7 linked regions of the Oryctolagus cuniculus genome follow. The protein of the gene in region 1 interacts with the protein of each later gene in a biochemical or structural test. Links are inferred from orthologs where the notes say so. Each region holds a gene or a part of one and is shown in the gene's direction. Other genes may lie near its edges. The genes, in order: RHOA, ARHGAP35, SMURF2, SMURF1, ARHGAP32, PKN2 and CIT.

Region 1 (4,628 bases):
TGGCATCCCATATGGGCACCGGGTCATGTCCCAGCTGCTCCACTTCTGATCCAGATCCCTGCTATTGCACTTGGGAAAGCAGTGGAAGATGGCCCAAGTCCTCGGGCCCCTGCACCCAAGGGGGAAACACGGAGGAGGCTCTTGGCTCCTGGCTTTGGATCAGCACAGCTCTGGCCATTGTGGCTGTTTGGGGAGTGAACCAGCAGATGGAGGATCTCTCTCTCTCTCCCTCTCTCTAACTCTGCCTTTCAAACAAATAAATAAATCTTAAAAAAAAAAAAAAAAAAAGAAAGACATCTCTGGCTCCTGCTGTGAGCAGGGCCTGGGTTGTCATTGTTTTCTGGGTCTTCCATAGCCCCCATCAGAGATTAGTTTTATAAATGACCCTAGTGAGGTCAGTTGGTGGGCTAAGTACAGCGGCTCCTGCCTTCCCAACTGAGGCTTACAGGGAGTGGGATCCAGAAGATCTGTTAGTTCATCTTTCTGAAATTATGACAGTACCACCCCCCCACCCCCGGACAGCTCAAGTGCTGATGGACTTTCCAGACCTTGGTGTCAGCCCAGCCTAAACCCTGACCTCTACATGCAGACCTGAAGCTTGCTGCCAAGGCCACTGTGCTGCTGGATTTGTGCCCTGACAACTACCCACCCCATCACCAGCACGGGCGTGTTCTCTGCCTGCCATGCATGGGGCTGGGATGGGGGACGGATCTACTCACCACGAAGGGAAATGTGTGGAGCCATCAGGTGTGGATCCATTCTGGCCGCCCAGACCTGAAGGCAGGAACACAGCCAGAGCTGCAGTAGACTGGGGGTGGGGATCTGGGCAAGCATCAGCCCAATTCAGGGTAGGGGCCGCTAGTGGAATCTGCCAGGGGTCCTGAGTCTGGTGACGGTTCTAGAGATCAGTTACAACGTGATGGGCGGAGCGGTGGGGATTCTGGCATAAAATGATACGGTATGATAGCATAGGTCAGGGTAAAATACTAAGTTCTGACGATCTTGGTGGACTTCTGGTAGTCTAGGGGGATTCTGAGGAACCCAATGGTTCAGTCTGGTGGGGGCGGGGGCGGCCAGCTCACGGAGGTTCATAGGGAGCCTCACCTGGGCGGTGATACAACCCGGTCACCGTGTTCCCGTAGAACCCCCACGCCAGCTGGATGCCCAGGAGACTTAACACCAACCACAGCAGCAGCAGTTTGAAGAGGGTCACACGCATGTCCTGCGCCTCCCACTCCCGCAGAAACTCGCTGCCCAGCGCGCCCAGCGCGCCTAGCACCGTGGCCGGCAGAGCCTGCAAAGACTGTCCAGACCAAGACTCCGCCATGACCGGCCCGCGCCCCACCCGGGGTACTGTCACCGTAGTGCACACCGCGCAGGCGTAAGGTCTTCCGGGGCTAGGCCCGTTAGTGCGCACGCGTAGAACCAGGCAGGGCGGGCCTACCTCGCTTGGGCGAAGAGTTGGCAGTTTAGGGAGGAGTATTAAAACCGCGCACGCGCACTTAGCCCCACCCTACTCCCTTAAAGCATGAGTGACTCCCGGAGTATAAAATAGCAACCGGGTCTTTTATAGCCCCAGAGTTCCCGTGATGCCCCACGCGGCTGTAATGATTGGTTGAGCGTCTTGCTTTTAGGGCGTGGACGCGCGCCTGAGCTATCGTGGCTGAGATGTGAGTGTGCGCGCGCGCGCGGGGCCGCGACCAGGGCCGGCTCGAGCCCGCTGGGCGCTCGGGGACGCGCACGTCGCTCCCCGCCCTCCCGCCGCCGCCCGCCCTCGCTCGCTCGCGCTCCCCGCCCGCCACCCGCCGTCCTCCGTCGGTTCTCTCGGTAGTCCGCCGTCGCCGCCTCAGCTACCCGCCCTCGTCTCCGAGCTTGCGACTCGCGGACAGGCGTCCTCGGCGCGAAGAGGCCGGACTCGGAGTCGTCGCCCGAGGTGAGCGGGAGGATCCCCTCCTGGCGCCCCGGGCCCGCCCGCCCGCCCGGCACTTTTCCGGCCGCCCGCCCGCCCGCCGCCCCGCCGCCCCGCCGCGGCCGCGCCCCACCTGCTGCTCCCGCCCGGCCGCCCCCGGCCCCTGACCCTCACTCCAGCCCGGGGCCCGCGCCCCGCTCCCGCGGCCCCGCCCGCGCCGGCCCCGGAAGCGCGCCCCGCCGCCTCCAGCGCCCCTTCCCCCGCCCGGCCGGGCCTGCTGGAGCCCCAGCCGCCCGCCCGCCCCGGAGCTTCCTCTCTCACGGCCGCGCGGGGCTGGGCGGGGGCTCCTGGCCGCGCGGCGCGGCGCAGCCGGCAGCCGCAGAGCGCTCGTGGCTGTCGGAGTTGAAACGGGAGAGAAACTCTTTACAACTCCATTTTACCTTTTCCATCTGCTGTAGCACATGAATCACCGTTTTATGCAGAAGTCCGGCTGTGCTTTGAATAGATTTGCCTTTTTTTTTTTTTTTTGATGCGGTATGCTTGGAGAGAGTCTTAAGTAAAAAAGCTTGTGTTGAGGTCTTAGGACTGCTGCCTGAATTGGGGCGGAAAAGGGTGTTTTCCAGTTGAAAATTTTTAATGATTTAAACAACGTTGCATTAAAATGCAGGTAGTTTTGCCTGTGGAAGTTGCTGCCTTTTATTGGGACTCACCTAAACATCTGCCCCTGGTTTTGGATAGGATACACAGTTACAGGGTGTCTGCATTAAATAGCATTGTTTGCCCCCAGGTCGATTTCGTTAAATGCAGTGTTTTGTCATTTCTGGTGGAAGCTTGCATCCTTTTTACCTCCGTGTTGCTTCCTGTTGTGTTTCCTAGTAGTCCTGTTCTCAAAATGTTAGACTCTGTTGGTCACTTGTTCGGTTATTTCTGCCTTTAAGACGATCTTTTGAAGTAAATGTGTCTTGCAGGTGTGCAATCAGATTAGATTCCTCTCTGCCAAATCTGAAGGGGAAAAAAATGTCAAAGCCCCAAACCTCCATATTTTAAAATGGTGTATATGGTGAGACTTTTTCAGCCACTTAGTGTCACACACCCAGGCTGGGTTGGTGGAGATGTTGTATGTGGCACAAATGACATTGTTTGGGCTGAAACTTACAAAGACTAGTCCTTAATTGAAGCATCTCTTGATAAATTTCTAGAGACCCTTTAAAACTACAAATCTAAGGTGAATTTTAGACTCCTGTGAGTCTATGCCACTTGTCATTGTCACTAGTAGCCATAATGCAGTTGGACCCAATGTGTTGTCTATAGCAGTCCATCAAGTCCAAATCAATTCTAAAAGTTTAGGTTAGGTTTAGGTTAGTTCCATCTACTTTTGTAGAGCACTTTATGGCTCTTGGGGACATAAAATATGTAAGATGGAACTTGGTTTTAGTCAAAGTCTAGTACTAGGTTTACTGTCCTCATAAAAATCTGTACTGGAGAGAATAGAGTAGGATTATAACATCGATCAATTATCTTCATAGACCTAGTACTAAAATGAATTAAAATCATGTAGTCCAATCACATCTGCAGATGAGGAAACTGAGTCCCAGAGACTTAATTAAGCAGGATCATACTGGTATTATCTAGCTAGAAGCAGGCCAGAACTGTTTGCTCTGCAGGATATTCTCAAATACACTCCCAAACAGCTGGACTAGAGTCAGCTAAACTTTGGGACTTACTCTACCGTTTTTTCTTTTATACCTTGCTGACTTTACATAGATTGGGAGAATGTGAAAATTGATTTGCCAGCCAAATTTCAGTTCCTTAGCTGTCACAGCACTCTCCGTAACGGGATGGTTCCGCTGCAGTCACTTGTGAGAAATACCTGAATATACCTGCAAGGTCCTTGGCTGCCTATTCCTGGCTTTAGGTGTTTGGGTCTCAAGCGACCAATTTCCGGAGAGAGGCCCAGGCCTGGCTGCTCCAGAACCAGCCTAATGAGGTCAGGCTGAGATGTTTTCAGACAACTGCGGGCTCTTTTGCTGACTCCTGATAGGGGCAGGCTGAGGAAGGAACTGTACATATCAGGGTAACAGTCCCCTGTGCACATGTGTGTTGTGGTGGTTTTTGTTAGAGTATTTTCATAGTTTTGGTTCCTATGCTGTCAGCCAGTTAAGTTTTAAAAGTTTATCCTAGGTATATGGGGGCGTGAGTTATTAGGAAAGTAAAAACGGGCAGATCTTAGGTGTGTGTTGTCGATAGGGTGATATGCAAGTGGTTAGTTGCTACTTTGGGTCTTCTTAATTGTCTTTATTTTTTTTTAAGATTTTAAAAATACATATTTATGTATTTGCAAGGCAGAGTTAGAAAAAGAAATCTTCCATCTGCTGGTTGGCTTCCCAAATGGCTAAAACGTCTGGGGTGGGGCTGGACCAAAGTGGGAAGCCTAGAACTCTGTCCAGGTCTCCCTGGTGGGTGGCAGGGGCCTAAGCACTTGAACCATCCTCCACTGCCTTCCCAGGCACATTAGCAGGGAGCTGGATCAGAAGTGGAGCAGCCAGGACACACTTGTGTTAGCGAGCTGAGAGATATATTAACTCTGAGAGCTAAACTAGAGAATTAATTTGGGCTTGCTGGACTTCTACAGATAGCACATTGGGTTTAACAGAATTACAGCTACTAGTGATAATGATAAGTGGCACATAATAACTAAATTCCAAAAAGGACCTTATAT
Region 2 (4,384 bases), on another chromosome or scaffold:
CTGGCAGCCCAAAACGTCTTTACAAAAGTTTTTAAAAGTCATATGTAAAAATCAGACTAGATGCATTAAAAGTGCTAAACTGAAGAAAAACGTTCATGGGAAAAATCTTTGATCAGAAGAGCTTTATTGAATGGGACGTTCTAGAATTCGACTCCACGTCATTTTACGTAGTAGAGCACTGAACTTCGTGCGTGGCGTGAGTTTTAGCATTTTTTAAGTATAAGGAGTTCCCCCTTATCCGCAACATGAGTGCTGGGCTTCCCAGAGAGATTACACTCACGTAACTTGAGAGAGAGACCTCTTCATGCATTCCACAGAGGCTGACTCGGCGGCGCCGGGAAAGCCCCTCTCCCACCATCCCACCCCTGCTTCCGCACGAATCCCAGAGGGACCCCTTCTCGGTTCGGGGGACTCAAAGGTGACGGCGGCGGCCCCTCCCATCGCTGCCTCCCCTCCAGCGTCCGTAACGCCGGCTGCCTTCCAGCCATTTGCCCGGCGCTGGGCTGGCGGGCAAGGAGGCACGCCGAGCCAGGCCGGGCCGCCTTCCTCGTCCCAGGGACCCGGCCCACCTCGGGGTCAAGAGCAAGTCGGGCCGCCACGCGGGTCGCAGGCGCAGGTCCCCCGGCGCAGAGCACGCGCTCCGCAGCCCCGCCCCTTCTTCCGGGACGACGAATCGCCAGGCTCGGATTGGGCTGCGGCGGGCCACGCCTCCTCGCGCTGCCCAATCAACTCCCTCCCTGGGTGCGCTCCCTCCTCCCCGGCCCCGCCCCACCGCCCCACGTTACGTCGCCCCCTCTCTCTCTTCCTCCGTTATCCCGGGGGCCGCGGCTAGCGCGGCAAGCCCACCTCCCCGTGCCTCCCATTGGCTACCTAGGTCCCGCGCGAGCGGGATCGCGCCCTTTGCCCCCGCCTCCAGAGCCAGGCCATGCCTCTCCGCTCCAGTTTTCTCCTAGAGACCGCGCGAGGCTGCGGGGGGCGGCAGCGGCTGCTCCCGGCGCGCGCAAGGACGCGCGCTCCCACGGCGGGCCACGCCCTCCGCCTCGCGCCGGCCTCGGGCAGCCCCTTCCGCGCACGCGCACTCGCTCGCCCCGCTCCCTCAGCCCGTTCGCGGGTCTCCTCGCGCTCGGTGTCGCCGCCGCCGCCGCAGTCGCAGGAGCGGCATTTCCTCGGGGCGCAGGCGCACTGCACCGCCCGCTCCCAGTCCCAGACCGCAGCGGGCGCGCAGGCGCTCTCGCGGCTCCCGCTGCCTCGCGCCGGTTATCCGCACCGCCCCTCCCGCGGCGCGCGCCCAGGGGCCGTTATCCCCCTGCAGCGGTCCCGCGCCGCGCACGCGCAGTCCTGAGGCGGGGGGGTGCGTGTGTGTGTGTGTGTGCGCGCGCGCGGGCGCGGCGGCCGCAGGAAGGAGGCGCCGCCGCCGCCGCCATTGCGAGGGAGGAGGGAGGGAGGGAGCGAGCGAGGCTGGTCCGCCCTCCCCCTGGTTCCCGCCCCTCCCCCCTTCCCCTCCCCGCCCCCCGCCCCGAGGGAGAGCCGCGGCGCGGCGGGAGGAGGAGGTGGAGGAGGCGGAGGAGGGAGCCCGCGAGGGAGGGTCCGCCCGGCCCCCCGCCGCCGGAGCCGCCGCCGCCGCCGCAGCCGCCGCTGGACGAGGAGCAGGGGAACATGGCGCCGGGGCCGCCGTCGCCGCGGCCGGGATCCCCGAGGCCGGGGCCGCGCTGAGGGCGCAGGCTGGTGAGTGCGCGAGCTCGCGGGCCCCGGGCGGCGAGGCCGGGCGCCGCCCCGCTGCGGGGTCCAGGGGGAGGCGGGGACGGCGGGGCCCGGAGCCCGCGAACAATGGAGGAGCCGGAGGGGGAGGGGAGGGAGCGGCCCCCCAGGTCCCCGGGCCCCGCCGGCCCCGCCGCGTCGCGCTCGGGCCCGGCCCGCAGGGCCCGCCTGCCCTTCGGACTCGCCCCTGTCCGCCCGGGGCCTGCTGTCCCCGCGTCTGCTCCCATCCCCAGCCCGTCGGGACCTGGTGTCTGCCTGGCCCCCCACCCCCGTCAGCCCTCCCTGCTCGCAGTTCCGCGCCTCCCCTCCCCTCCCCTGCCCCTCGGGGATGCCCTTGGCCGCTCCTGGCCTCCGCAGTGCCCTGGGGACCCACCTCCTCCCCGGTGACCCCTTGTGCATCCCTGCGTTCCGCTCCCCGATTCTGCTGCCACCACGCTGGGGCTCTGGCCCCGGCTCCTGGGTGGACCTGTCCGGTAGTCCTGCCTCCCGGTCTCTCGCGCCCCCAGGAGCTGTCCCTTGAGGACCTGCGGGTGCTTCTTGGAGATCCAGCCAACACCCCCGTTCGCGGGGGCACGGCTGCGCCCAGGTCTTCGCCTAGGACGTCCCTGCTCCTCCCCGGGGGCCCTGCAGCCCTTCGCGTCGGGCCCTCGTCTCCATCCCGGGGATGCTGCTGGCCGGGCCTCTGGCCCCGCAGCCCCTGCGTGCGCCGTGCTGGCCTGCTGCCCCGCTCAGCTTTTGCTCCAGACCTTTCTGCCTCCCTGCTCTGCCCCTCGCCCGACCTCGGTGCCTGCTGGGCCTCCTCCCCCTTCAAGGTGCCTGCCTGCCCTCTCTAACCAGCCGGAGCTCACCCCCAGTTCCCTCGCAGGTGTCCTCGTCCGCGCCTTCTTCTCGGGGCTCCTCTGAGCTGCCCTGCCGGCCGCTCCCTCTTTTTGGGACTGTCTCCCCTCCAGCCCTGCCCGGCCCGAGCCTGCTTCCTGCCGCCGCCTCCGCCCTGCCCCCTGACTGCTCCTGGACTTGCCCGGTGCCTCTGCCCCCGCCGCGTCCGCAGCTCCCAGGCCTGCATCTTCGCTCTGCGCCCATCCCCGGCCCCGGCCCCGGCCCCGGCCCGTGCGCCTGTGGGTAGCCGTCCTGTGGCCGTGCCCTGTTGGAGGGGTCCTCTCTAGCCGGTCTTCTGACAACTGCCTCCTATCCGTTCCCTCCGCGGTCCGCCCGACCTGCTGCCCCTCTGTGCCCACTGCTGCGGCCCTGGCCTCTCTGCTGGGACACTAAGCTGTCGTCTTAGCCGTTCCTTCCTCTGGGAGCCGCCTCAGCTCTTCGCTAGGTCACTCCCTCTCCATACCCCTCTCGCGGTCTGTGCCTCCGTGTCTCCTCGCCTTTCCCCCCTTTCCCCACCGCATCCTGCCTGGCTCCTTCTCTTCCCATCCAGTTCCTGTCGGACCTGCCTCTGCCGGCTCCCCACCCATGGCTCAGCATTGCCGGAGTGCTTCCCCTTTGCAGGCCTGGCGGGCTCTGGGCCCCAGCCCTCAGCTCTGAGGCTGACCTGACCCCCCCTCCCGGGGCTCTGTCCCCAGGATCCCCAGAGAGCCGGGTGAATAGGTTCCTGCTCCCTGGAGTCTGGAAGTGTCTCCACGGCTCCCACCTCTCCCGAGGCTAGTGGAGTGTCGGGAGTGGCTCGCACTCGGGCCTGGTTTCCTCTCCCCTTCCCATCCCTGGGCTTTGCAGCTTTGTGTCCCCTGGACTGCAGCTGCTCGCAGGTCCTTATCTCTCCTGGGCTGGGGCAGGGAGACACTTGCCCCAAGGCAGTCCTGCTGGGAGATCTTAGGAGTGTGCTTTTTTGTTTTTTTCCAGCTGACAAGTCGTGTTTCTGTTTTACCCCTAGCTGGGGAAATGCCAGTTCTCAAGTTCTCCTCAGTCCCTCGGGGCTATGGCCACACTTGGTGTTTACTGCTCTGGGCCTGCAGAAGCCACGGAGCCCTGGCTTCCCGGAGCCCTGGCTTCCCTGACGGCCTCCGCTTGGCCGGCTGACCTTGGGGGAGGGGCTCGGAGGAGGTGGGTTTCTTTCTTTTTCACCCCTGCCCCAGGAAGGCTCCAGCTTGCCGGTCTTCAGCCTGGTGCAGCCTGGTGAGGGCCTGGGTTTGCAAAGCTTTGCGGTTGTTTGTTGAAAGAGAGAGTGCCAAGTGTCACAGGGATTTCTGCCCCCTGGCACTGCAGGCGCTCCCAGCCACAGGAGCCGAGAGCCTCTGGCCAGATCCACAGGCTAATCCAGGGGCGCGGTGTGCAGGGGTGTGTGGGTGGGCCATGACGTTCCCCAAGCAAACCCTTTGGGTGACCTGGTTTGATGGCGTGGAGAGGGGTGCCGGGAGCTGGCTGATGGGGTGGATTTAGACTTCTTACCTGGGAACTGTGCCTTGTTACCTTTCATTGAGCTGTTCTCTTCAGTGGTCTGCTGGGGCTGGGGCTTAGGAAATCGATTGGGAGGTAGAGATGGTTTTGTAGAAAAGTCATCCAACCCTTTTTCTTCCTTAACTTGGGAGAGGGGACTTTGGCTTGTTTTATTCTGTAAATATATCAAAAGCCTGAATTTTTTTCTCCTGTGACCTGAGGCAGTGGCATATTAAAGCTGCCG
Region 3 (3,572 bases), on another chromosome or scaffold:
TGGCCTTGTAATTGCCACTCCTCTAAGGAAAAGAATTTAGGAGGTATCTTTTGTGTTAGAAATATGCCCATAATCTTTTTTGGATAATATCCTCTCTGCAAGTATGGCTTAGATTCAGTAATCTTTTTAGGACCCTAGAGTAGCTTTGTGGAGATTTTGTTTAGTGGCATTAGGATTTATTATATAGTTTGTACTGCTAATGAAATCCTTGAAGTTTTAAGAAGAAAAAAAAGTGTTTTTTAGTGTGGTACTCTAATGAGATTAATTATATAAAATCTAGGATTTACAAGTTATATTTTATTCCACACACTATTGTGATTCAGTGTCATAAACAGGTTGGATTAGCTAGATGAGTTGGTCTTGGACCCTATGAACCCTAATGTGAACATTAATAGTATCAAAGTGATTTTGAAATTGTTCATCTGTACTGACCCTGCATTAGGCTGCCAAGCAGAGCTCTGTGTTCCTGTATTTTGTGTTTAATATCATTTCAAGATTATTAAGCACATTGTATAACCACTTGTTCAAAATACATTCTTTGAGTTGCTGGCACTACAGGTTGCTTTCCCAGGGGTTAGTAAAACAGATGCTACTCCCTCCCTATGACAGCAGAGAGAGGACTGCTGGCTGAGGGAATGAGCTGAGTTGCCCCAAATCACAAAGCTAGTAAGTGTTGAAAAGGAAAACAAATGTTAATTATACTCTTTGGTTCTCATTTTTTGTCCACTTAAAAAACTTCAGAATTCTATTATGAAATTAGAACCACAGAGGTGGTTCTGACCCTGTGGAGGAACCTACAGTAAGTAGGTACCTCTGGAGCTTTTTAAAATATAAATCTTCTCACAGTGGATGCCCAGAAATAAACCCTCTAAGATAGGGCCTGGTGTGTACTTCGAAAAGCTTCCCAGATGATGGTGATGTTACCTTTGATTAAGAACAAGCAAATAAGAACCAACACTACGAATCTATAGTTCTGTATTGAGGAATTTGGGGCATGGCTTTGGTTTCCACTGGCTGATGACTTGTGCAATATTTTGACAGCTCATTATTTGCGGACTTGGAAAGATAGATGTTAATGACTGGAAGGTAAACACCAGGTTGAAACACTGCACACCAGACAGCAATGTGGTCAAGTGGTTCTGGAAAGCTGTGGAATTTTTTGATGAAGAGCGACGAGCGCGATTACTTCAGTTTGTGACAGGGTCATCCAGAGTGCCTCTCCAGGGCTTCAAAGCGTTACAGGGTAAAAAGCCTGGGGACGGACAGGCCACATGGTATCACCCTTGGGGTGGGGTGGGGTGGGGTGGAGGTGTCAGTGTTTGGTTTATATGAATATTTTACAAACCATGTGTTTATGAACAGATTGTCTTTTCACTCTGTTTCTTACCTGCAACTTTCACATCATGATACCTTCTTCTCCTTCCTCTCTCTTGTTCCCCTCCCAAGAGCCTTTTCTGCGGGGTTCTCTGTGATTGTAGTGAGTGCCGCACGTTAGAGATCGCACTGTACGTGGTGATGCTCTGCCTTTCATTTTCTGGCCACCGTGCTGTTAATTCTGTTGCACATTCTTGTATGGGAAGTTGTCCACTTTCATCTTTACATCTCAACTTGGCAAAACATCTACCCACCTGGATGCCTCTCTTGTCTCCTTTTTATTCTTTTAATAGAAAGAGACAGCATGAGTCATAGAACCCATCTGTTTGGTCAGAGCACTTAAATTATTGCATGGCATTCAATCATTTATTTACAACCATATTCCATTTTTAAGAATTGCTTCCTTGGAATAGCTGTTTAATTTTTGGATGAACTGGTAATATTGCTAGAAACTGTGGTGCATCCTGGGTGGCAGCTACTTCCTTTACCTCATAAGCCCTTCATTTTCAAAGCTAATGCCACTGCTGGTGATGCGTGAAGAAACACAAGGTGGGTACATGCCTCAGCAGTGCCCCCTGCAGTGGGAGCGTTGAAGTCCCTGGGCAAAGCCTACTGAGCTGTGCCTCCCTTCCCTATTCGGAGAGCTGTCGGACTGTCCAGATGCATAAGAGAGGCTGCGTTTCTCCTGCACTCGGTGTGGGTTTCTGTGTTAACTGGAATTGATTGTATAGGCTGTTAACCTGTGCTGTCAGCCCAGTTTGAATCATGAAATTAAATTTGCATTAGGTTGCCATTTTCTGAATGTGTGCCTATGTATGTTATTTTGAAATTCTTATACTGATTTTCTATAAACGATGACAAAGGCATTTCAATTCTGAACTTTTTCTGAGATTGAAATGCTAGCATATTCAGGAATCCAGCCGTATCCAAGGGCAATTCCAGCTTTCAAAATCCAGATTCTTCCCTGCTGCCGTTGGTAGCATGTGTGGATTTGCCAGCCTTTCCCTTGCCCTAGACCCTGTGGTTTGTGGACCAGTTTCAGGCTGAGACTCGAGAGGCTGTGCGCGGGCCTGCAGCGATGTGACCCACATTTCCTCATTCGCAGGTGCTGCGGGCCCGCGGCTCTTCACCATTCACCAGATTGATGCCTGCACCAACAATCTGCCAAAAGCCCACACTTGGTGAGTTATTTTTGTAGCTTCTGCCCCTTCCCCCAACTCCATATACATAGGTGTTAGTTCACATAGATTTGATTTTTCATTATTTTTATTATTGGTAAATGAATTTTTAAAAGGATAAGCAACTCTTTTAAATAATTTGAAAGTTAAGATTATTCAAAAATTAGTGGGAAAAGCCCAAAGTGGTAATCTCTATTTTAGAGAAAGTACAACCTTTACATTTTCTGCATGACACAGAGTGATATGGCTGTTACCAGTGTATTTGCCAGACCAGTTTACTTATTTTGAATGAACTTTATAAATCTGATTTGCTTATTCACAGCTTCAATCGAATAGACATTCCGCCCTATGAAAGCTATGAAAAGCTCTATGAAAAGCTGCTAACAGCCATCGAAGAAACATGTGGATTTGCTGTGGAATGATGAGCTTCAAGGACTTACCCAGAACTCTATTTATATCCCTGCCGACAGCCTCCTTTCAGCAGAATTTCAAAGAATGCTGAAATACAGGAAAACATCCCCATCCCCCCCTTAAATTTTTTTAGGACACTGTGAGGGGAAAGGACAATTTTGAAATTCCTTTTCAAGGAATAAAAGGTCTTTATGCTTTGCCATGAGGCCACATTCAGCTGCTATTTAAAATTAATATCTTGAACTAAAGAATGCTGACTTTTCCTACATTTCCAGAGTTAGGCAGTATTCTACACTTTAAAGACTACTACTATTTTTATAAAAGGTAATCTATTCAAATTGCTTCACAGAGTTCACGTTTCTCAAACATCAAGACAACTTCAGCAGTCGGTACAAGTCCCATTTCATTTTGATTGAATACATGATTTTGAACAGCTCCTGTACTTCTTTGTAAAAAAAAAATAATAAAATTATTTTGAATTATTCTACCTTTGTAAACAACTGGCTAAAAGGATCATTATCTTTAAGAAATTAAGCCATTTACATGTTTAATTATGTTTTTCTATAACAGAGCATTATATTTTGCATTATATGTTTCAGCCTAGCTTAA
Region 4 (3,838 bases), on another chromosome or scaffold:
TGTAAATTCAACCTAAAGTCTTTCCTATTGGTGATGGCCAGTCCCCAGCTTGAGGAGAAAGAGTTGCCGAAGTTTTGTTTCGTGTGCTCCTGAATTTGAGAAAATGAACAGTTGGCAAAGTTCATCTCTAGGACTTTTCCCCTTATTGCAGATGTAGATGACCTCTGGGGAGAATCTTGTCTGTAAATGCTAACCCTCGTATTTTTTCTCATTTTCAGTGTTATGTGCCAAGAACCTTGCAAAGAAGGACTTCTTCCGTAAGTAAACACCGATTTTTGCCCTCTTACATTATTCTTCATGTGTTTCTGAAACTTTACACTTTTTAAAAACCCACTGGGTGCGTTCTCCAGTCTCGCTCTTCCCTGGGTGGAGATCATGGTTTGACAGGTGTCATTTCCCAGGTGACCGCAGCCTAGGGGCCGCCTCCTCAAAGGCTCCGAGCTGCCGAGTGGCACCGAGAAACCTGTCCCGCTGCCAGGCCAGCCACACCCGGGCGCCTCTGCTTCCCCGCCTTGTGGGACCTTGCTCTCTGCTGGCTGAAGTGTTCTCAGCTCAGATAAAAACGGGAAGACTTTTCTAAAAAAACAGCTGCGAGTGTCCACCACAGTTAAGAATTTCACTCGCACTGTGAAAGCCCTGTCGTTAAAGGGGTTATAAAAACAGAAATCTTTTCTGAAGCAAGGAACGCTCCGCTCCTTAACGGAGGGGTGGGGCCTGCAGGCCCTGAGTTCACGCAGCTCTGGTCTCCCAGTGAGGGGCTCAGCTCTCGCGGGGTGTGAGTGAAGACACTTAGGCTCCAAGGCTTCATCCAAGGAGCTGGGAAGCTCGGGTGGTGGCTCTCCTCTAGGTCCGGCTCAAACCCTCCACCTCGCCACCCGTCTGATCCCATAACCCTGCCCGATTCATCCTCCAGTGCTTAGGAATGTGCCCGAGTAAGAGGGAGTACTTGCGTCCAGCGGTGAGACAAAGACCATCCACGGGAATTCTGGGAGCTACTATAGTCTTAGAATAAATGCAATTTATTAGAAACTCTTTCCTCTCTCTGCATGTAGCCCCCACTATACAATCAGTACGCATGGAAAGTGAAAAGTTGAAGTGAACCCTGTTTTATAGTTTCTGTCCTCTTCGATGTGGAGTATGAAGGCATACCGGTTTGTCCCACTTAGAAAACAAAATAGAAATGACTGACTTCACCACTGGGAGCTCATCTTAGCTTGGAGGCTGACAGGCACAGGGGTCCCCATCCTGCGGCTGGCTGCGCGTCCCTCAGCCAGGCGTGGGCGTGGCTGTCCTCTCTCCTCCAGGGCTCCCGGACCCCTTTGCGAAGATCGTCGTGGACGGGTCTGGCCAGTGCCACTCCACCGACACCGTGAAAAACACGCTGGACCCAAAGTGGAACCAGCATTACGACCTGTGAGTGCCGCGCTCCGCAGCCGTCTGGGGTGCCGCGGGGGGCGGGGGAGGGGGAGCTCGCTTCTTCAAGAGAAGCCCTGAGAGATTGACGATGACCAATGTGAATCGCCTCAGTTTCGGGTTCATGTGCGTGGATGTTTTTGCCTTCGGTGTTTCATCGGTTTCTGTGGTCTGGCTTTGTAGCAGTGCCCCTTGTCCTTCTCAATCTCCTTGGCATTTATCAGGAAAAAGAAAAAAAGCCCTAGTTCCTGTCCCTTGCATGCTACACTGTCGCCTCAGGGGACTGTTGAACACTGTAGCGTTTCCCTAAAAGACATGATGATTGTATAGATCTGCTGAATTTTTAGACGCTTTTTCTTTTTAAGGAATATCTATCTTGTGCAGGAAGAAATAGTTTTGCATGATTGAGTTATATAATTCAATATATGAATTCTGGGTACTACTATAGTCTTAGAACCATCAGGCAAATTTTTACGTTCATTTAAAAAAAAAAAAGGAGTGCGCTTTGCAGCCCACTGTGTTATGTGCACCCTTGCTAAGAAGTTTCGGTCCGAGTGATACTGAATGGTAGTGTTACAATCGTCAGTAACACGTGTTGTGTGGCGATAGGACTTTCAGGGGTTACAGCCTGAGCCTGGGTCAGTGACGCCACGCTGCCATTAGTGGCTTGAGAAGCGGTTGTCAATTTCTGTCCTCAAAGCTCCTCTCTCTGGTCGGCGTGCCCTGAGACCCGCTGGAGACTGAATGTCTTAGTATTCTTTTGTGTCCTCTGAATGGCTGTGTGGGTTTACAAGGAGTCCCTTGATGCAACCCAGTGCTGTGTGTGAAGCCTAGTTGGTGGGGTTTATGAGCCCGTCGCCACCCTGGGGCGCTGTTACCGTGGACTCAATCTCCGGTCTGAGGTTCCGATCGCCACGTGGTCATCTACGTTTGCCCCTGCGTTGGCGCGCCGCCCTCGCTCAGCCCGCTGACGTTGCTGGGTGTGTCTGTGCACGTGCGCGGGTCGGGGGAGAGCCAGTGTTCCTTTGCAATAAGATGGGATGTCGCGAGAAGGCCTCTCTCAGAAGCCCTGTGAAGCAGCGAGCCTGGTCTTTGCAGGTACGTGGGGAAATCGGACTCCATAACCATCAGCGTGTGGAACCACAAGAAGATTCACAAGAAGCAGGGCGCCGGCTTCCTGGGCTGCGTGCGGCTGCTCTCCAACGCCGTCAGCCGGCTGAAAGACACCGGATGTAAGGACCCAGAGCCTCTCGGTGCTGGCGGAGGACGCGTCGGGGCGTCGGCCGAGTGCGGGACTCCCGCCTCCCTCCTCCCTCGTTGCCTTTGCCTGGGTTAAGGTCTGAATTGTGTGTTTGCAGATCAGCGTTTGGATCTATGCAAACTAAATCCCTCCGACACTGACGCAGTTCGTGGCCAAATAGTGGGTAAGAGCTTTCTCATCTGTATGGAGACGCTTTGACCGGTCAGTTCCTCACCCGTGACGAGCTGGCCACACGCGGGCCACCCCTGCAGTCCCTGCCCCTCCCCCCTGCCATTCCAAGTTGCAGAAAGAGACAGGGTTGGACTTCTAAATGTCGCTCTGATCGTTACTGGACACTTTGTGCTACTCAAGGTAGCTGATGAGAACGGTGGCCGCACACACGAGAGAGCTGGGCTGCGGTGTCTCCGTCCTGTGTACACAAGGCAAAGGCCATGGGGAAGAATTCCGTGTGGCGCTATTTACAGTCAGCGGGCTGCCCTGCTGGGAGGGAGCCACTCACGTGGGCTGATGCCCCCAGGCTGGAGGCCTCGGTTGAAGGGAGCTATCTGTGAAGTGGCTCTGAGTGTCTCAGTGTTGACTGTGGCTTTGCAGGGAATCAGGGGCAGCCGCAGGAGTACCGCGACTCCGCGGTCTCCAGGCGCCGTCTCAAGTAGCCTTGACCCGAGATAAGCGGACAGTAGGTCAGCACGCTGGGAACCGTCACAGCAAAAAAGTTAGTTCCCACTGCGTTTCTTCTTGCCGTTTCTCCTGGCCTGTGCGGAGTGCTGGGGGAAGTGAACAGCTGGACGCAGCCTCTGTCTTTAGCGTTTGTATCAGACAGAGAATTAACCCTTAGATCCAGCCAGACCTTGCAGGGAGCGGAAGAGCTCTTGCTGTCAGATCCTGAAAGTTACGGTCACTGTCACTGCTGTTTATGGAGAGCATAAGAAATACAGCGTCCTCTCCCGCCCCGCATCTGTGAGCTGTGTCCTCCGCTACTGTGTGTGGTGGGCACAACTGCCAACTGCTGGGGCACAGTGCTGCCTGGGGAACCCCTGTGGTGGGGGGAGGGAGGAGGGAGGGGAAGAGAGAGAGATGGGGGAGGGGGAAGGAGGGAGGGAGAGCGTGAGAACAGGTGCCCTGTTGTGTGTTCTATAGCACATCCATTGTAGATTCACAATTGTA
Region 5 (4,475 bases), on another chromosome or scaffold:
CATGAACACAATGATGTGTCTCTGATAGCTGCCAACATGGCCATTTTTTAAGTACCAGTTATGTTGTTGACAGGGTCATAGATGCTATAATTTTTTTTAAAGATTTATTTATGTATTTGAAAGACAGAATTACAGAGAGAGAGAGAGAGAGAGAGGTCTTCCATATCCTGGTTCACTCCCCAGATGGCCTCAATGGCCGGAGCTGCCCTGATCTGAAACCAGGAGCCAGGAGCTTTCCTCCAGGTCTCCCACAGGGGTGCAGGGGCCCAAGGACTTGGGGCATCTTCCATTGCTTTCTCAGGCCATAGCAGAGAGCTGTATCAGAAGTGGAGCAGCTGGGACTCAAACCAGTGCCCATATGGGATGCTGGCACTGCAGGCAGCGGCTTTACCTGCTATGCCACAGTACCAGCCCCAGATGCTATACTTTTCATTCATTTCCCAGAAGATATTTTATTGACACCGTGGATGTATACAGTTGAATTCTGTAACTGTCAGCATTTTCCATCTTGTGACAATTTAATTTTTCTTTTTAAAAATATTTATTATTTAAGTGCAGAATAATAAAAATTGAGAGAGTGAGAAAGAGAGAGAAATCTTATATATATTTGTTCATCTCTCAAATGGCTGCAACAACCAGGTGTGGGCCAGGCTGAAGCCAGGAGCCAGGAACTCCGGCCTGTCTTCCACATGGGTGACAGGGACCCAAGTACTGGGGGCCATCTTCCACTGCTTTCGCAGGCACATTGGCAGGAAATTAGACTGAAATGGAGTAGTTCAGCAAGCTGTGGCTTAACCAGCCGCACCACAGTACTGGTCATAGGCAAGCCTGGCTTTTCCATTTTGCTGCGGCTCCCTGAGCCAAGGTCTGCGTGGCTGCAGTACTGAACAGCAGAAGAGAAGGTGTCAGCATTCCAGGGCATGGAGCTGGGCAAGTCCCTAGGCCATTCCTGTTTTTTCTGTTAATTGTGATCCTCTTACGCTACCTGTAACATGCCTGTCATTGTGCTTAGCCCTGGAAACCTTTATCAGTAGTGTTATGTTTCTGGTTTTCTCTTTACTTTTCCCAAGTTTGAGATCACAAAAAGCTACAAATAGAGAAAAGTCTACTTTTTGGAAAATACCTATTATGAATTTAAATGGAAATTTTGAAAAAGGAAAGATAGTATTCCAAAAGTAATTAGGGGCTGGTGGTGTGATACAGTAGGTAAAGCTGCCTCCTGAGACACTGGCGTTCCAGATAGGCACTGGTTCGTGTCCCAGCTGCTCTACTTCTAATCCAGCTCCCTGCTAATGGCCTGGGAAAAGCAATGGAAGATGGCTCAAGTGGTTGGGCCTCTGCCACCCATGTGGGAGATCTGGCTTTGGCCTGGGTCAGTGCTGGCCTTTGCAGCCATCTGGGAGGCAAACCAGTAGATGGAAGACTCTCTCTCCCTCTCTCTTTATCCCTCTCTGTAATTCTTTCAAAATAAATAAATAATTTTTAAAAGAAGTAATTAGTGCAAAATCACCTTCATATGGACTCTGCTTTTGATTATGTAGGTCAGGGAGCCTAGGGCAGTGGGAGGGCCCAAGGTATCACAGGTGGGGCAGTCAGACGCAGTGAATGTGTTGCCTGTGGTTTCCTGTCTGTGCCCCAGCTGTCATTAAACCAGTACCATCTCTTGCCAGCAGAGTACCTGCCACACACCTGAGTGTGCGTACATCGCTGAACAGCCTGGACACTGGTGCTGTTTCTCCCATGCCTTGAGGATTCCACTTTTTAAGATACAAGATGGACACTGAAAGTGAGAGTAGCATTTCGGGGGATGACAGTGTATTTTGTTTGGATTCAGCAGTCAGGACCCAGGTGACTGACAGTGAGGAGGGAGAAAAGGAAGAGAATTTCAGGTAATTATGGAATTTGAGATTCCCCGAATCTCAGCCTTTGTCCCTCCATGTTCCCTGCCCCCCTCCCCCCCTTCTGTGTTTCCAACTCTTTTGCTTTGCGTCTTTCTGAGGGGGTGGTCGGGGGTGGGGAGGTTTCAGCTGAAGCAGACAGGTTTCGAGTTGGATGTGGCACTCTTCATTCCACAACTTGCCCTGAGCTTGTAAAATATGTTTTAACTGACTTGTTAGAACACCAGGAAGAGAAGGTGTTAGGCAGGTTCTGCAGTAGCATTTCAGGAATTTCAAGTGGCGACTCACAATGAACTGCTACCCTTCCTGTATCTGATTTCTATCTGATAGATTTGATCTGAATTTGGATGTAATAGATTTTTCTTCCTCTTTTTCTTGGAATGGGTTCTAGGGTATGTGGTGTATTTGTCTGTCTGCCTGTTTTGGTTGCCTTATGCAGGTGTTTGAAAAATTTTAATTAAGAACAAATTGGTTATTTTGTGGCTTTTACTTTGTGATCTTTACTCTTGTCTGTGTCTTTAACAGCTCACCCCACCCGCCTCCAATCTCTCTTGGTTATTGCATCTGTAACAGTAGCTTCATAACTGAAGTTTATAGAGGGTACCTGCCGAGTGGCTGAGTGACTGGGGAAGGACGGTAACTCACCCAACTTGTGGAGAGAGGATCAGTGGTGTACTAAGTCTGCTGTACTCTTAGGGATTTCAGGAAACTTTATTTTGACGTTTCTTTTTCATGCAGTGTTAACAATTTAACATTTTCGGAGGCATTAAAAATATCTTTGTGAAGTTTAAAGTTTGTATTATATTTTATCATTGCCACCCACATGTGCAATTAAACATCTGATAATTTCACCTTTGACTGCTTGGGTATGCTGCTTGAGCATACCATTTTTATCAGATATTGTCTTCATGCTGAATGTTCAAAAAGAATATATACATATTCTTCATGCATAGATTTTATTTTTCATTTTTTATAGGTTCAGTGACAGGAAGGATTCCATATTAGGAACACTTGATAACTTATACTGAATTTGTTAACTGGGGTTTAAACTAAATGAGAAGTATATCTAAAAATTTAAAAGAATAATTTAATGTTCAAGTATGAAAGTGAAATACTTTATTTGGATATGATTGGTTTTTTCCCCCACAACTTTCTTGTTCTCTCATTTTTTATTTAGCCTTGCTGGTTTGAATAAATTTCATTTCTCCCAGGGTATGCTAATGTTACATGTACGCTTAGTTTTCAGCATGGTCAGTGTCACAGGAACAGTGAGTGGGAATACAATATTTGTTTTGTTTGTGTTGAATTGGTTTGTTTTGGTATTAAACTTGTGTAAGTTATTTGGGGGTTTTTGTCCATGGAAGAAACAATTTACTTTGTTGTTGCTGTTGTAATAGGTTTGGTATCTAAAAAACTTAGATCTATTTGTTAGGTGATAGATGTCTCTGGGACCCTCTTTGGACAGTTAAAAACAAATGTTCTTTTCTGAGGAATATGTGACAGCAGTTTTTATTCTGAGAACTGTCTTAGTGTATACATTGTTTTAGGAGATCATGAGACTATTGGACGTTTGTTCTTTCTCTGTTTACAATTACATTTCCTATCTGAATATCACTATGGCCCTCCCAAACTAAATAAGATTTTGAGATTTGATCTTAAGTATTCACAAATGCAACAAAGAGATGTGGATAAGGGCCAATATCATGTAGTGTTTCTCACCTATTCAGCAGTGCGGCATGAGGAAACATGGCAGCAGAGTGCTTTCACAACATCCCGGCTCATTCCTGTGAAATGCCTAGCAGAAAAAATGTGTGTGTGGGCGTGGAAGGTGAAGGGTTGGATAGGAGGAGTTGCGGCTGTGACCTTGGGAGAACCAAACAGTAGATTCAGTGTTATAGGAGACTTGATCTTGTGAAAATAATAATTTTTAAAAAATGTACAAATAAATCTTCATCCTATCTAGTTTTTTAAAAAATCCATGCTATTACATATGAAACCAAAAATGTTGTTATGGTTATGTTTCCGCAAGTGCACAACAGACAATAAAATGAGGACAGAAGATTATACAGTGACCTTTTTCTCTGAATAGTTTCTATGTTAGATTTTACGTTTACTCTCAAAAGAATAGCATCGTCTCACTTGGCACCATGGCTGAGTGAGGTCCTATTTTATCTAGAATGCAGTTTCTGGTGGTTCCAACAAGCACCTGAGTTAGGGAGAAGTGCTCTCGGATAGGAGCTAGTATCTGTCTAGTAGCAATTGGAGTATCCTTCGTTTTTGGATTTGGTTGGTAGAAAGGATACTCTTTCTTAGATTCTAGCACTATAGGATGTTGCACAATCTGTTTCAGGGAAGTAGTTCAAACTTGTGCACCCTTGACTCACAAATCTCTCATATGAAGATTTCTCATTTGTAGTATGAAGGTAATAATCTGGGTGGTTATCTACCTTATCACCATGGTAAAATTGCTGTTACACTTCAATATTTAGAGACCTTCAGAGTGTTTTGAATGGTCCTTAGTGATCATTAACAGAATCTTGTGATTAACAAGGAGAAATATAAGGTAGAAAAGGAAAA
Region 6 (3,838 bases), on another chromosome or scaffold:
GTCTCCCACATAGGTGGCAGGGACCTAACTACTTCAGTCATCATTTGCTGCTTCCCATGGTGCACATTAGCCGGAAGCCAGATAGGTAGTAGAGAAGGCATTCTGGTATGGAATGTGGCTCTCGTAAGTGGTAACCTACCCACTGCACTAAGCACTCACCTCCTGAAACTCATTTTAACTTACTTAAAAATATTCTTCCAGTCTCCCTTTCCTGGTGATGATGAAGAGGAGGTTTTTGACAGTATTGTAAACGATGAAGTAAGATATCCAAGGTTCTTATCTACCGAAGCCATTTCCATAATGAGAAGGGTAAGAATTTTTTTTAAAAAGCTACTTAAATTATTTTTATAAAAGGAAATTCCTCAGTAGAACTTTGGAAGTTGGTTTTCAGCTCGTAGATGTTGCATGGTTTAGATAAACATTAAAAAATATCTAAATCTCTGGATGTTACAAGAATCCCTATCAATAAAGTTTACTTTATGGGTTTTATTTTAACATTTCCATGTTATATTGTGTTAGCTGTTAAGAAGAAATCCTGAGCGGCGCCTTGGAGCTGGTGAGAAAGATGCAGAGGATGTAAAAAAGCACCCATTTTTCAGGGTGAGTATGAAAGTTGAAAGTTTTGATAAAAGTAAAGCAATTGGGAATGGGAAACTAAACTGGTCATTTTATGTTTTGTAATCCAGCTAATTGATTGGAGTGCTCTGATGGACAAAAAAGTAAAGCCACCATTTGTACCTACTATCAGAGGACGAGAAGATGTTAGTAATTTTGATGATGAATTTACCTCAGAAGCACCTATTCTGACTCCACCTCGAGAACCAAGGATACTTTCAGAAGAGGAGCAAGAATTGTTCAGAGATTTTGACTACATTGCTGATTGGTGTTAAGTTACGAGACACTGTGAAACCAAGCGAACTGACTCACAAGAAGACCTCTTAAGAATAGCAACCCTTCATTTGCTCTCTGTGCCACCAATAGCTTCTGAGTTGTTTTTTAAAACACATGAAGATTTGTTTAAAAGTACTGTTTTAATACCTTCATGAAAAGTGGCTTCTCAAATTTTTTTTCTGAGCACTGGAAGCAGATTTGAGGAGTTTAAGCTGAAAGAACATTGGCCATGAAAATCCATCACAAATGAATACTTTTGGAACAATAGTCTATTTAAAAAGAAAGAAAGAAACCACTCTTTCATAGTCCCTAGCTTTGCCATATGCCTGCCTTAAGTGGAAAGAAGATTAATCACTTAACTTGTGTTTTACAAACAGAAAACAAAAATGGCTTGGAATGCTATTATTGTTCATACAAAGTATGATTATGTTTGAATAAGGCAAATGCTCTTATTTTTAAAAAATTACTATTATATCAAAAAATCTGTAGTGGCAATTTGTGCACATTTTGAGGCTTAATTTTTTTGAAAAACAAAATGAATTGATATCTTGTTTTATAAATTTTCTATATTTATTAGGAGAAAAATTTTTATTGCCTTACACTTTATCAACCATGTAGTAGAGCCTCATAGCTTTCCAACAGAGCTACTTGCCAAACAGTTTATTTTTTATTAAACAATGCTGAAACAATCAGCATTTCCTTAAATTGTTCAGAATAAGGACTTCTAATCAGCCTGAACCAAGATATACTCTTACCTCTATGCATTCCCGAAATCTAGACACCCGATTTATTCAGTCATATCTTCTTCCAGAATCAGTGAACTGACTACCCCTTTTTTGATACTTGTTCTGCATTTATCAGTCTAGTTCATCGTGTTCATGTGTCTGCTGTAGAAGGGAACTATATCATTGTTAAACCGTAGGATTATCATTGTATACATGCTGTGAACATGTATATGTACAAGTTGTAATGTATTCTATGTTGTAGGCTTATTATTTAATTTCACTACTTCATCACTTTTGTACAGTGGCCAAGCAGACACCTCAAACTCCAGCATTTACATTAAGTGCATTTGTACATTTTAGGCCACTGGATCCAGATTTTATATTGGCAGTTACTGAGGGCAAAAGCAATATATTGTAACAGAATGTATAAATATTTTTGATAAAACAGTCTATATTTTATAAAAATATTATAACACTAAAGCTGTACCTCAAAAGTCTCAAAAAAAATTGATCAAATACTTTTGACAACTCTTCAGAGGATCCGTTTGTGGCTTTTTTCACTCGTATAGGGATGTCTTTTTGTAAACCATGAATTTCCACTTGCTTGGAGGTGTTTTGTTTTTTTTTTTTTTTTTTGGTTTTTTGGTTTGGTTTGGTTTGGTTTTGGATTTTTTACTCTTACTTCATGATTTCATTGTTTCTTTTGTTCAGTAACAACATCTTTGATCCTGTGCTTAGCATGTTAGGGTCTTTATACCTCAGGAATATCTACCTGTTAATTAACCATATTGGATTAATCATTTAATCACAGCGGACTCATCTGTTAAAAAATTATTCAGTTTAATCTTGTGAGAAACATGAAAGCACAGGGAGTTGAGCTAAAAACATTTACAAATATTTCAACTTTGTTTGAATGCGTTGGTGTGTTTTTAATTGTACTCTGTGAACAATTAAAATTGTCCAGAGATACTTCCTATTACCTTCAAAATTGATTATTACCCAAGATCCTGTGGGAGAATATCTTGTAGGAAGAAGAGCAATATGTTGATTAAAGTTATTTTAAAATGCCAGTTAACTTCCTTGGCAAAAGACAGTAGAGGAATTTAGCATAATTGGCTTAAATTTAAACAGTATTAACATTAAAATACTCATAAGACACTAAATACTTTTGAGGTACAGTCTGCTCACCTTTGCTGGTTCTCAAATATGCATAGAAAGCAAAGTCTAAAATAGGCTTTTAGCATTAAAAACTGACATAACATTTTGTAACTACACAGTGTACAGAAATTTTTTTAAAAATTGAAGTCAATCACTAAGAAAATTAGAGGGCAGGGTATATTCACACAATTAAGCTGAAGAAAGCACTAATTTTTTCTGTAGTTTTTAAAATATATATATTTTAGATTTAAAATTTTAAGCTCTATAGAGTGTAAATATATTTTGCTATTACTGTATGTGTATGTGACTGCTCAAGCACTTTGTAAGGAAATTAGGATATTTTAGAATGGTACACTATGCATTCAAATGAAATGTGCCTTTAACTCTGTCATTCTAAGAAAAAAGTGTTTGCAGTCATAAATTTCCCACAAGTGCACAAATTAAATAGATGGAATTTGTAACTTTGGTTTTAAGTATTATTTCCTTTTAGAAACTTCCTGGTGATTAAATATGTGTTAGATTTATTATGTTCAAAATGGCAAAGATTGATTACCTTAAATTTGCCTTCTCACAAGTACTTTCTTGTCCTGGGAAAGGCTTTAAAACCATGAAAATTCAAAACAAATTGTCCATTTTCACTGGGAACAATGGAGAAAATTTGTATTTTATTTTTGTAAAGCAATTAGCATCTTTCATTTGATGGATATTTATGGAATAACCATGTAGCTAGACTCTGAGTATAAGAAGGTGGAAAAAAGAAAGCAACAAGTGATTATGAATGAAGAACAGCTTGCAATAATATAAAATTCAAGTACCAAATACTGTATGTGGTTTTCTGTTGAGATTAAATATTTAAATTTTGGGCCCCATTTTCTAGAAAATAGGCAAGTGACTAAAACAGAATGCCAGCCATTCAGTAGTCATCTTTTTTAAAAAATGTGAATGGAAAATTTTAGAAAATAAAATGATCCATATTCTCCCTTTAAAGCAAATTGAAGATAGAATGAAAATTGTTATTCTTCTTTGACTTAGTAAAAGATGCCTTCAAATCTAATAGGATTTTT
Region 7 (3,838 bases), on another chromosome or scaffold:
ATTTTGCCAAATAAAGATAGAAAAGTAATAAAAAAGAAAAATCTATTATCTTCTGCCCTTTTATTTGATAAAGAAAGGACATTTTAGGCACACCAAGAGAGGAAGTACATCCTTTCAGCATAAAGGACCGTTTTAAAATTTAAATACATTTGGCTTTATAAAATAGATATGGTGTGGTGTTCATTTTTTTCTCATTTTACTGCAGGCTGTTGAAAACTTTGTTAAGAATCAGTGCTATATTTGGAAACTCCTGCTGTAGCTGATCTAAACTCATTGAAGAAGAGAAGAAACCAAGAATCTTATTTTTCTGAGTCAGTGGCAACTATTACCAAAGTGACAGGGTGACTTGTGACCCTGTGCTTGGAAAACCCACTGAAGTTTCAGTCTTTTGTGGGAACTGAATGATAAAAAAGATTCTAAGATATAATCTGGAGAATTCTATATTTTTTTAAAGACAATTTATTTGAAAGGCAGAGTCTCAGAGAGTGGGGGAGAGAAAGATCTTCCATCTGCTGGTTCACTCCCCAGATGGCTGCAGTAGCCAGATCTGAGCCAGGCTGAAGTGGGTGCAGGGACCCAAGCACTTGGACCATCTTCCATCATCTTCCCAGGCCGTTAGCAGAAGGCTGGATAAGAAGCTGAGCAGCTGAATTCTAACAGGCACTGTGCTATGGGAGGCTGTCAGTGCAGGTGGCTTAACTGCTGGGCCACAATGTGGGCCCCTGATGGGGAGAATTCTGATTCAGTAGGTAGGAAAGAGGACCAGAGAATCTGTGTGTGTGTGTGTGTGTGTGTGTGTGTGTGAAGTTCTCCAAATGTAACCAGTCTGCTTATGTTATCCAGTGTTGGATTAACAAACCACTCACAAAGCAGTAGTGATTTGTTTTTTCCTAGGATTCTGTGGGTTGGCTGGACGCACCTAGGTGCTCTAACGCCTCACCCTGAGGCATCTGTGGGGTCACTCCGGAGCCACACTTAGCTGTGATTGTGTTTGGGACTGGAACCTCTGGAAGCCCACTGCTGCCTGCGGCCCTCAGTCTTCCTCCTTGATGCCTCTCTGCTCCAGCGGGTCTCTCATCACTCAGTGTTCTTAGCCCAGAGCTTGTGTTTTTTTGTAGATAATAAATATTTTGGGCCGGTGCCGCGACTCAATAGGCTAATCCTCCGCCTGCGGCGCCAGCACACCGGGTTCTAGTCCCGGTCGGGGCGCTGGATTCTGTCCCGGTTGCCCCTCTTCCAGGCCAGCTCTCTGCTGTGGCCCGGGAAGGCAGTGGAGGATGGCCCAAGTGCTTGGGCCCTGCACCCCATGGGAGACCAGGAGAAGCACCTGGCTCCTGCCTTCGGATCAGCGTGGTGCACCGGCCGCAGTGGCCATTGCGGGGTGAACGAACAGCAAAAGGAAGACCTTTCTCTCTGTCTCTCTTTCTCTCTCACTGTCCACTCTGCCTGTCATAAATAAATAAATAAATAAATATTTTGGCTTTTCTGGATCATGTAGTTCTGCTTGCCACTACTCAGCTCTGCCGTTGGAGCACAGAAGCAGCCTTAAACAATGTGTAAATGAATGGGTGCAGCTGTATTCCAATAAAACTTTATTTATAAAGACATGCCGAGCTGGATTTGGCCCATGGGCTATAGTTTTCTGACTCCTGGTCTAGCTGAAGCTTCTTTCAGATTCCCAGAAAAGCCAAAGCAGATGGGGCCAGGCTTCCTAAGGGCTCTGCCCTGACCTGGCACATGGTCACTTTGGTGACGTTCTGATGACTGACACAAGTATCAGCACAGATTCAGGGGGAGGAGACATCTCCAGAACGGCGGAAGTGCTGCGGCCGTGTTTGCTGAGGGACTGTGCTGCAGTCCGTGGCCCAGCCCATGGAGTTCTAACTCCAGACCGGGGGCTGCAGGTGCATGTTGTCAGGGGCCCCGCAGACACGTGAGCCAGGTAGGAGCCTGGGAGTCAGGTCTTCGGTGAGCTCAGGGACACACCTGCTGCCAAGAGGGGAGCCGTGCCCAGTGTCGCCAGGCAGCCACGGGGATGGCGCTGTTGGGGACAGTGCTGTTAGAGCCACTGCTGTGGTGAGGGAAGCCAGACATTTCACTTTCATTTTTTTTATTTTGGTGAAATCTTCTGATTTTTAAATATTGGCAGATAATTCAAATTATTTAAAACACTACAGGCCAAACAAAACATGTCTGTGGGCTAGACACAGTCTGCCAGTTTGTAACTGTGGCTCCAAATCATGAATAAATTTGGCTTGATGATAGTCACTCCATCCACACTGTTTAGATGGTCCCAACGAATTCAAGAAACTGAAGTGATATCAACAAGCCTGTGGTCACACACAAAAGAAGTGACCATCATGGTTTCGCAGTGTGGACATGGGGTAACATGTCAGACCCAAGGGTCCAAGGAAACAGTACACGAACCTCAGACCATCAAGAATGAAGGACATTGTCTTTTTTTTTTTTTTTTAATTTTTGACAGGTAGAGTGGACAGTGAGAGACGAGAGAAAGGTCTTCCTTTTGCCGTTGGTTCACCCTCCAATGGCCGCCGTGGCCGGTGTGCTGTGCTGATCCGAAGCCAGGAGCCAGGTGCTTCTCCTGGTCTCCCATGCGGGTGCAGGGCCCAAGCACTTGGGCCATTGTTCTCTGCACTCCCTGGCCACAGCAGAGGGCTGGCCTGGAAGAGGGGCAACCGGGACAGAATCTGGTGCCCCGACCGGGACTAGAACCCGGTGTGCCGGCGCCGCAAGGTGGAGGATTAGCCTATTGAGCTGCGGCGCCGGCCCAGGACATTGTCTTATTAATGGGCTGCTTGTGGAGTTTGCTTCCCAAGCACTGGAGGCAGAAACCCATGCTAATGGCAGTGATCGACGTTGCCACGGAATTGTGCTGTGAGGGTGTCGTGATCAGTGAGCGAGTTGGTGGCTTGTAATTTACGCTGCGTGGATGTTATTGATCAAAGCTTATCATTATTGACAGTGCCTCCATCTGCTGCTTGCTGTTTTTAGGGGAAGCCACCCTTCATGACTCAGCAGCAGATGTCTCCTCTTTCCCGAGAAGGGATATTGGATGCCCTCTTTGTTCTCTTTGAAGAATGCAGTCAGCCTGCTCTCATGAAAATTAAGCACGTGAGCAACTTCGTCCGGAAGTGTAAGTTCGGGACCTTTTTCTTTCTTGGACACTGTCCCAGGAGAGAAAACGAGAAGGATGGGAAAGGCGGAGTGGGTTAGTGGTGGTGGTAGAGGGTAAGGACACTGGTCTAAACGAGACAGACCAGGTTCATGTTCACATTCAGGTTGCATCTGCTGTAGCTTAGAGACCAAGGCTTCTTGGTTACAAGCAACAGAAACTCAGTTTGAAGAATGAATGTATTTGGGCCATGAAACCGAGAAGTCCAGGAACGTCTGGTCCCAGGAACACACGGATCCTCCAACCCCATCCTTACACTCACCCAGGGCAGGCTTATCTTTAGGTACAATCAGCACAGTGCTTAGGGACCCCACAATATTTAATTTTAATGAATATAACTTGTTTTTAATTAGCTTCATTGATTCTGAATTATAGCTGTCTTGATAATGTTAAGTGTAACATTAAGCATAATTTTTGATTTTTTTTTTAAATGGGGGAAGGAGTTAACGAAGGGAAGAGCATCTAGGGCTCTGGGAGTTTCAAGCTGGCCCTGTCCTCATGATGGTTCTGGCTTTGCTTGCCTCCCGCGTGGTGGGTGCTTGGCTCTTTCCACTCACACGCACGTTTCCCAGCCAGTGGTGTTTTGGGCCCTGGAGAAGCCCGAGAACGTCTGGGGACATTTTCAGTCGTCACACAAGCGCGGGA

What was found.
Region 2: the proteins of RHOA (region 1) and ARHGAP35 form a complex in vitro, tested with the Homo sapiens proteins (3 studies listed by BioGRID). The link is inferred for Oryctolagus cuniculus from reciprocal best matches to the Homo sapiens genes RHOA and ARHGAP35.
Region 3: of the proteins of RHOA (region 1) and SMURF2, one has a biochemical effect on the other in vitro, tested with the Homo sapiens proteins (3 studies listed by BioGRID, with this or other methods). The link is inferred for Oryctolagus cuniculus from reciprocal best matches to the Homo sapiens genes RHOA and SMURF2.
Region 4: the proteins of RHOA (region 1) and SMURF1 form a complex in vitro, tested with the Homo sapiens proteins (2 studies listed by BioGRID and IntAct, with this or other methods). The link is inferred for Oryctolagus cuniculus from reciprocal best matches to the Homo sapiens genes RHOA and SMURF1.
Region 5: of the proteins of RHOA (region 1) and ARHGAP32, one has a biochemical effect on the other in vitro, tested with the Homo sapiens proteins (3 studies listed by BioGRID). The link is inferred for Oryctolagus cuniculus from reciprocal best matches to the Homo sapiens genes RHOA and ARHGAP32.
Region 6: the proteins of RHOA (region 1) and PKN2 form a complex in vitro, tested with the Homo sapiens proteins (2 studies listed by BioGRID, with this or other methods). The link is inferred for Oryctolagus cuniculus from reciprocal best matches to the Homo sapiens genes RHOA and PKN2.
Region 7: the proteins of RHOA (region 1) and CIT form a complex in vitro, tested with the Homo sapiens proteins (2 studies listed by BioGRID, with this or other methods). The link is inferred for Oryctolagus cuniculus from reciprocal best matches to the Homo sapiens genes RHOA and CIT.

Annotation. Positions count from the first base shown.
Region 1 is NC_091441.1:99,830,802-99,835,429, forward strand, and holds the start of RHOA (transforming protein RhoA), read left to right. Parts: upstream 1-1,656; 5' UTR 1,657-1,933; intron 1,934-4,628. Other genes in the region: TCTA (T-cell leukemia translocation-altered gene protein), read right to left, coding at 720-774, 1,105-1,327. UniProt on the Homo sapiens protein: Small GTPase which cycles between an active GTP-bound and an inactive GDP-bound state.
Region 2 is NC_091449.1:10,575,109-10,579,492, reverse strand, and holds the start of ARHGAP35 (rho GTPase-activating protein 35), read left to right. Parts: upstream 1-1,429; 5' UTR 1,430-1,725; intron 1,726-2,606; exon of another isoform or gene 2,607-2,746; intron 2,747-4,384.
Region 3 is NC_091448.1:14,185,656-14,189,227, forward strand, and holds part of SMURF2 (E3 ubiquitin-protein ligase SMURF2), read left to right. Parts: intron 1-1,041; coding exon 1,042-1,243; intron 1,244-2,479; coding exon 2,480-2,555; intron 2,556-2,874; coding exon 2,875-2,974; 3' UTR 2,975-3,572. UniProt on the Homo sapiens protein: E3 ubiquitin-protein ligase which accepts ubiquitin from an E2 ubiquitin-conjugating enzyme in the form of a thioester and then directly transfers the ubiquitin to targeted substrates.
Region 4 is NC_091450.1:41,317,123-41,320,960, reverse strand, and holds part of SMURF1 (E3 ubiquitin-protein ligase SMURF1), read left to right. Parts: intron 1-218; coding exon 219-257; intron 258-1,304; coding exon 1,305-1,413; intron 1,414-2,511; coding exon 2,512-2,645; intron 2,646-2,771; coding exon 2,772-2,837; intron 2,838-3,838. UniProt on the Homo sapiens protein: E3 ubiquitin-protein ligase that acts as a negative regulator of BMP signaling pathway. Mediates ubiquitination and degradation of SMAD1 and SMAD5, 2 receptor-regulated SMADs specific for the BMP pathway.
Region 5 is NC_091432.1:122,788,017-122,792,491, reverse strand, and holds the start of ARHGAP32 (rho GTPase-activating protein 32), read left to right. Parts: upstream 1-1,639; 5' UTR 1,640-1,773; coding exon 1,774-1,889; intron 1,890-4,475. UniProt on the Homo sapiens protein: GTPase-activating protein (GAP) promoting GTP hydrolysis on RHOA, CDC42 and RAC1 small GTPases. May be involved in the differentiation of neuronal cells during the formation of neurite extensions.
Region 6 is NC_091438.1:82,155,571-82,159,408, reverse strand, and holds the end of PKN2 (serine/threonine-protein kinase N2), read left to right. Parts: intron 1-201; coding exon 202-309; intron 310-519; coding exon 520-600; intron 601-686; coding exon 687-890; 3' UTR 891-3,593; downstream 3,594-3,838. UniProt on the Homo sapiens protein: PKC-related serine/threonine-protein kinase and Rho/Rac effector protein that participates in specific signal transduction responses in the cell.
Region 7 is NC_091452.1:15,911,988-15,915,825, reverse strand, and holds part of CIT (citron Rho-interacting kinase), read left to right. Parts: intron 1-3,012; coding exon 3,013-3,154; intron 3,155-3,838. UniProt on the Homo sapiens protein: Plays a role in cytokinesis. Required for KIF14 localization to the central spindle and midbody. Putative RHO/RAC effector that binds to the GTP-bound forms of RHO and RAC1. It probably binds p21 with a tighter specificity in vivo.